2 linked regions of the Rattus norvegicus genome follow. Each later gene encodes a partner of the first gene's protein in a complex. Links are inferred from orthologs where the notes say so. Each region holds a gene or a part of one and is shown on either strand. Other genes may lie near its edges.

Region 1 (3,816 bases):
CATTTTCTGCTCTAAGCTTCTAACAAGAAAAACCATAAGAAAATCATTTCTTCCAATGATTCTTTCCTTAATAAGAAACTTAGTTTTGGCTATTGTGAGTTTCTAAAATGGCCTATGTCTCTGGAAGCTGCTCAGAATTTTGTCACTTTGTGCAGACACTAATGGACTTTCAAAATGATTATTACACCAAAAATATATTTAGACATATGTTTTCTGAATGAATAAGGCTTGCTATTGAATGGCTAACCAGGAAATGGCTTAATGCCACTTAATATTTAGCTTCCTACTCCTCCCACTTTCCTCCTTTAAAGGAAAACATCAAGTGTCCATTCTTCATAAAAAAAATGAAGCAGTCATAGCTACATTTACTAAACTCTTAGTTCATTTACAACCTACTACAAATGCACTAGGTCATTTAATCCTGACTAAAACCTTATAGGAAACTAAGCCAGTCAGTCCCATTAATGTTATAGTTACTATATATTCTAGTAGTACAGAAGGTTTTCTCTCCTTACTATAAAATATAAACCAACAAGCTTCCTGAGGTAAGATTCTAAAAAAGACTCAAAACACGACACACAAAGAGACTGCCAATCACATTCACATAAACCTGACAAAAACCACTTCTGAATCAAATTGACTTTAACTCACAGTCTTCACCATGTTCTAAAGAATGTTCAGATATGTTCTAAGATACCAATGGCCAGACTGAGGGTAGGGACAGAAAGAGACCTTAACTCAAGCGCTGAACTCTTATTTGTGATCTGTTACTTACTGTGTGACCTTGGGCGAGTTACTTACCCTCTCTGGGACTGTTTCTTTGTCTGTTACATGCAGGTAACATCTACCCTACAGTTGTTGGGGCAAGTGAGGTACTGTACCATGCACAGGCTTTAGCAACTGCAGAATACAAATGTTAAGTTGTCATTACCACTAGAGCAAGTATCTGGGGTGGCCTGCACCCACAGAGAACAGTGGGAAGCCACAACTACATGGAAAGAACAAGGCTCAGAAGCCAGCCTTTTCTCCACGAAAGCTGGGCAAGGAGAACACAGCTTTATCCTCTTAATCTACGTCAATGGGCCTTGCAAATCTGGGCCACTGAACGTCTCCCAAGGGAATTACCCTATTAAGAAGAACAGACCATTAATATAACTAGTCATATTTGGGCCATAGATGTGGCATTCCTCCTTGTGTTACATTTTACAGGGTACCTGGCCTTTGGAGAAGGTTCAGTAGATATTTATTGAGTAACTGAACTGAAATCAGGAAAGGGCCAGGCAGTAGTGGCACAGGCCTTCAATCCCAGCACTTGGGAGGCAGAGGAGGTTGGAGCTTTTTAAGTTCGAGGCCAGCCTGGACTATAGAGTGAGTTCCAAGACAGCCAGGGCTACACAGAGAAACCCTGCCTTGAGAAAGCGAAGAAAGCAAAGAAAGAGAACAGAAGAAAGCAAGAAAGAAGCAAGCAAGAAAGGCAGGCAAAAGAAAAAAAGAGGAAAGGCCGTAACTTTGATGTTAGCTCCGACAGTTAGAACTCCTGAGATAACAGAGGCTGTTTAACCTTTGTATGAGTAAATGTGCTCTCTCCAATCACACACACCATCATTCTTTTGCCTTTATCTCACCAAGCTAAGCTATTTAATTACAAAATAAGTTGGGCAAGATTTTAAAGTTATAATAAAAACATCAACAATATCCCGGCAGGGGTTTAAAATACAGAACTCCATTCATATCATCTTGATAAAATACAAAGACACAATTTCCTTCACCTCAGAATATGTAACTGAGTCCAAGTTTTCTAACCAACCTCCACTTACTTAATTACTTAAAACCTCTACCTAGACTGGCCATTGCCGACTCCTGAATATATTGCCATGTGGCCCAGCATACCCTCTTGGCATTTCTGCACAAATTCATCGGATGCCCACTTTCCTTATGACTGTATTGAATAATTAAATAGTGCATAAGCTGACAAATTTCTATGGAAGCTAAATAGCTTGAAAAGCCAATAAATGAATATCAGGGAAAAAAATGTCCTTGTCAGGTGAGAGGTAATCTAAACTGGAATAAAACTGAAAGCAAATTAAAAAACCAGGACATTGTTCCCAACACTTTAGCCCCACTCCCATCCCTTTAAAGGAAACCCAGAGTGGCAACGGTATGCTCTATGAAGGCAACCATGCAATATGACCTAGGCAGTCAGTGAGCTAATCCCAAGACCTAGAGCTCTAAACTAAGGTCCCTACATTCAGCGTGTGCACAAATGTTTAAAAATCAAATAGTTAAGGGGACTATGTAGTATTTGTTACTGCCCTCCCCAACTTCAAACGATATTTCTGATTATTGGACAGCTTTTTTTTCAACTAGCATCTGGGAGACCATTTCTATGTTAATAAGCAGGTTGTTTCAAATGTGTAACAAACACAAATGCTACAGTGGGGACCATTAGGGCCACAGAAACTTGAAAGTCAGCAAGGAGAACAAAATACTCCTGAGGGATAAAGGCGGACTGGGGTGGAAAGTAACCTAGGCAGAGATCTTTTTAAGAGCTGTCTCTGAACCTTCACAAAGTTCCTGCTGTGACAAATAAAAAACCGACACAGATCTATTGAGTAACCTGTCCTAGATGGGCGATGAACCAGGTTTTGACTCTAGGCCACTCTACTCCTTTCTATCACTTGACTGCTGATATTAGTGCCTTGCATATCGTAGATAAAACCAGCAAGCCACGGGATATCCATGGGGCCAAAAGGCCCACTGATTCTGAACACCAGGTACAGGTGCACAAAAGACAAAAGTCAGCCATGAAAATAGTCATTAGGGCCATCTCTGAATGAAATCGTCACAGATGTGCTTTGCAAATGCCTGCAATAAGAAGCCATTACTTCTGTGATCAAACAAGAAAAGGCCACACAGCACATTCTTACCTGCACAGAGATCTCTGAATTTTTACAAAGATCTGATTGGAGGACATCTGGTCAATGGCTTTCTTTTGTTCGGTAACCATTACAACCTCAAAGGTTGGGGCAGCATTTATAGCCGCTTTTATCCATTTCTCTTCTTAGATGTATAAACTGATTATCTGACCTTCCCTTGCAAGAATTACCAGTCATTATAAAGCCACCATACAGAATAAAAAGACAAGTAATCATCACATACAAGTATTGAACAGTTTCTGACAAGAAATTTAAAAAAAAAGCTGTCAATGCAAATAAAGCTACTATGTTATTACCTTTTCTGTAAACAAGTCTGCTGACAACAACAACAGTTATTACACTATCATGCCTCCTAAATGGTTCTGGAGTGAAGTCAGTAGGATCTACAGCGTTAGGAATGACGGACACTATTTCAGGATTCAGTGCTGCTCTGAGTACAGTGTTCTCCTTACTAGTGTAAGAGACACAAATGATGTGGTTTGTGTCACAAAGAGACACAGTAAGAAGCTTGTTTGTAAGCACCGAGCTGACATCAGCAAATCCAAAAAGGGAATGGTCTGTGAAGACTGTCTGAAGCCCCATTGTCTTGGCGTGGAAGAGAGCATCATGGGCCATGGCAGAGAAAGAACTGTGGGAATGGATTATCGTAATTCTCTCCCGAACAAATATGTACCTGAGCAATGGCAGACTGTGAAAGAGAGTCGTGGCTGTAGATTGGTTGTACATGACTCTCAGAGGCAAATAGTAAACTTTGAGGCCATTGGTGAGGTAACGGACGCCCTTTCGATTTCCATAAGCATGGGTGACAGTTATGACTTTGTGCCCCCTCTCAATGAGGCACTGAGAGAGCTGGTAAATGTGGCTTTCCACACCTCCCATG
Region 2 (3,275 bases), on another chromosome or scaffold:
GTGCTTTTGGAGGCAGAGCCTCTGAACTTAGAGGTACAGGGAGTCATAAGGAGTCAGAGGAATTTAGGCTGGGAGAACAGGTGTCGTGGTTGAGTAAGAAGAGCCCCCATAGGCTCATGTATCTGCATGCCTGATCTAGCTCTGCTTTGAGTGAAATTTCCTTGCAACTTTGAAAATCTGTATATGGGCCTTTATTCCTTGAATAAGAATCCAAGAACCAGAAAACACCAACACTGACCTTGCTCACCTGACACTGAAAAAATGATGGTAGGGGCTGGAGAGATGGCTCAGTGGTTAAGAGCACTGGCTGCTCTTCCAGAGGTCCTGAGTTCAATTCCCAGCAACCACATGGTGGCTCACAACCATCTGTAATGGGACCCAATGCCCTCTTCTGGTGTGTCTGAAGACAGCTAGAGTGTACTCATATAAATAAATGTAAAAGAGGGGTTGGGGATTTAGCTCAGTGGTAGAGCGCTTGCCTAGCAAGTGCAAGGCCCTGGGTTCGGTCCCCAGCTCTGAAAAAAAAGAAAAGAAAAAAAATAAATGTAAAAGAAAAAACAATGAAGGTAAGTTTATAGTCAGATTTTTTTCCCTCTTAAAAATAAATTTATTAATGTGTGTGAATGAATAGACATGTCACAGGTGTGCAGGTACCCAGAGTCCAGCAGAGGGAGTCAGAGCCTCTGGAACTGGAAATACAGGCAGTTGTGAGCCACCAACCTACGGACCACTCAGCTCCTCAAAGGAGTCATCCCTGAGCACTGGATTTTCTTCAGCACCCACACAGTAGTTCCCAACCATCTGAAACCCTTGTCTCAGCAGATCCAACACCTCACCACTGACCTTGAAGCTGAAACAAAATCCCAAATTATTATTTTTACAGTCTCGTTGTGCTGGCCCAAACTCAAGAGATCCACCTCTGTCTCCCGAGTGCTGGGAGTAAAGGTGAGTGCCACCACTGCTCGGCTTCCAAATGACGGACTTTTAAATGAATGGACTCAAAACAACAACAACAACAACACAGTCCTCAGGGTGGTTGGCTGGCAGAGTGCCGACTTAGCGTTCACGACCTGGGTTCTGCCAGACCACATAAACACATGCGGCAATGCTTGCCTATAACTTCAGCACTCAGGAGGTAGAGACAGGAAGGTAAGGAGGTCAAGGTCTGCCTCTCACAGTTTGAGGTTAGCCAGAACTAAGGGAAGGGAGGAAACAGGCAGGTGGAGAGATGCTCAGGGGTTAAGGACATGAACTTGCTTGCCCTTGCAGAGGATCTGAGTAAAGCTCCGGCAGTCTTACAGTTGCTCGTACCTCCAACCCTCGTGTGGCCTCTTTGGGGACCCACACTCATATCCACATAATTAAGAATAAATCTTAGAAAAAACAGTCTTCGGATGAAGACCGGTCATGTTCCTCTCCCTTGGGACATATTTATTGTAAGTGTTTTTCAGCTACAGCACTAACAGGAGAATCTGCAACACCTGAGGGCAGAACCCAACAACCAGGAGCCTCTTGCCCCGTGCACAAGCGGGGCCTCAGCTACCCTAGTTATGTCTGAAGAGCTTCAGGCCCATCCAAGTCCACAGGTGGAAGAACACGTACACCGGTACGGTGACCGGCAGAAGCAAACTGTAGAAGCACAGGCTGCTGGCGCTGGTACAGCCCTCTGGGAAGTTTTCTTCCACAGAGGCGGAGTAGAACAGGCCCGCCAGGGAGATGAGCGGGATGAGGACAGTCAGGGTGGGCAGAGACAGGATCATCCTCCTCCCTTCTGAAGGTATACAGTTCAAGAAAACTCGGTTGTTTTCAAAGTTATGTTCTTGTGCTGGTGCACTCCTGTCTTATCTTCCCTTTCTCTGGACTCCTCTTTCATCCAGGCATGCTTCCCAAGAGCACACAAAAACTTCAGCGGTCCCAGGCTGAGGGTGACGGCTCCTCAGCCTCGTTCTGATCCAATCCACCACCACACGAAGCGGTTACCAGCGACTGCAGACAACACACGTGTCCCTCGCAGCGCTGGCTAAAGGATTCCTTACTGTATGAGAAAAGTGCAAGATGACAAGATGAGGGGAAGGGAAAGGAAAAGAAGGGGAAACAGCCTGTACAGTACTGAGCAGGTTAAAGGCAGGAGGATTGCTGTCACTTGCAGTCTGGCCTCAAACATTGGGATCCTCTTGCATCAGTCTTCCCAAGCCACCACGCCCGACTAGAAAACAAACCTTCAAAACACTCAAGTGTCATCCATTTCTTTGGGAACTAAGAAATTCGAAAAGCAGAATGAAGGACAGGTGGACTGATAGTGTTTTCTCGAACCGAGGAAGCGGAATGAGACCTACAAATCCAGATTCACTTCAGACACCTGAGTGGAGGCTTCCCGTACGACGAGGACCGGCTGGGGACCAGCACCGGAACCCGGAGCCTCGTCACGAGCCGCCCGTCGTCAATGCACAGAGTGAAGACAGCGCCAGCCCTGGGCCCAGTCGCCTCGGGGACGCGAAGGGGCACCCGGGTCCCGCTGCAGTCTCTGGCTGACCGAGGGTAGCGATGGCCGGGTCGGAGAGAACCGAGCCAAGCCGGAGAGAACCGAGCCAAGCCGGAGAGAACCGGACCAAGCCGAACAGGGCAGAGGAGAACCCGGCCGAATCGAAAGTGAACCAGCCAGCCAAGCGGAACCGGAGGCGTCCGTGGCGCAGACGCCTTGCTAGCGCGAGTCCTGTCCCAGCCGGTTCCAACAGCTCCTCCGCCCGTATCGGATCTCGAGACCCTGAACTCACCATTCACTGGCCTGTAAATGTCCGGGTCCCGGCTGCGCCTGGCTGTGACCGTCACCGCTCTACGAAGGCGGAGCACCCGGGCCAGCCGCCCAATCAAATCCCTGAGGGGGCGGGGTAAGAAACCCAGATCCCGCGAGGGAGCCGATCCGCGCGTGCTCATTGGACAGCGCACCACGCCTTCGCTCCGGCGCTCAGGCTCCGCCCCCGTAGTCTTGAGTGACGGGTGAAGCCAGAGGGGTGCTGAGAGGACCCTGATTGATAAGGACCTCCCTGCCCCGGACCCCACGGCCTCCGGCTGGGCGTCCTGTGTGCCAGGACTGCTGGACCTTGGAGAGGAACGTATTTGCCGCAGAGTGTGTTCACGGCGTTCCAGAGCAGACCGGTGTCTTTCTGCGCTGAAAAGCTTTCCCCATTTCTAACTGATAAACTTGAAGCCTGAATCAAACTTGGTCGCAGCCACCATCACCCAGCCTCTGAAGCAGCGGGGAACGAGTCCGATCC

What was found.
Region 2: Piga (region 1) and Pigy share a complex: the UniProt entries of both Homo sapiens proteins name them as parts of the glycosylphosphatidylinositol-N-acetylglucosaminyltransferase (GPI-GnT) complex. The link is inferred for Rattus norvegicus from reciprocal best matches to the Homo sapiens genes PIGA and PIGY.

The regions. Positions count from the first base shown.
Region 1 is NC_086039.1:33,680,819-33,684,634, forward strand, and holds part of Piga (phosphatidylinositol N-acetylglucosaminyltransferase subunit A), read right to left. Parts: coding exon 3,233-3,816; coding exon of another isoform or gene 3,015-3,232; exon of another isoform or gene 845-3,014; coding exon of another isoform or gene 802-844; exon of another isoform or gene 1-801. UniProt on the Homo sapiens protein: Catalytic subunit of the glycosylphosphatidylinositol-N-acetylglucosaminyltransferase (GPI-GnT) complex that catalyzes the transfer of N-acetylglucosamine from UDP-N-acetylglucosamine to phosphatidylinositol and participates in the first step of GPI biosynthesis.
Region 2 is NC_086026.1:28,965,185-28,968,459, reverse strand, and holds Pigy (phosphatidylinositol N-acetylglucosaminyltransferase subunit Y), read right to left. Parts: upstream 2,036-3,275; 5' UTR 1,761-2,035; coding exon 1,545-1,760; 3' UTR 584-1,544; downstream 1-583. Other genes in the region: uncharacterized protein Pigyl1, read right to left, coding at 2,347-2,985, 3,221-3,275. UniProt on the Homo sapiens protein: Part of the glycosylphosphatidylinositol-N-acetylglucosaminyltransferase (GPI-GnT) complex that catalyzes the transfer of N-acetylglucosamine from UDP-N-acetylglucosamine to phosphatidylinositol and participates in the first step of GPI biosynthesis.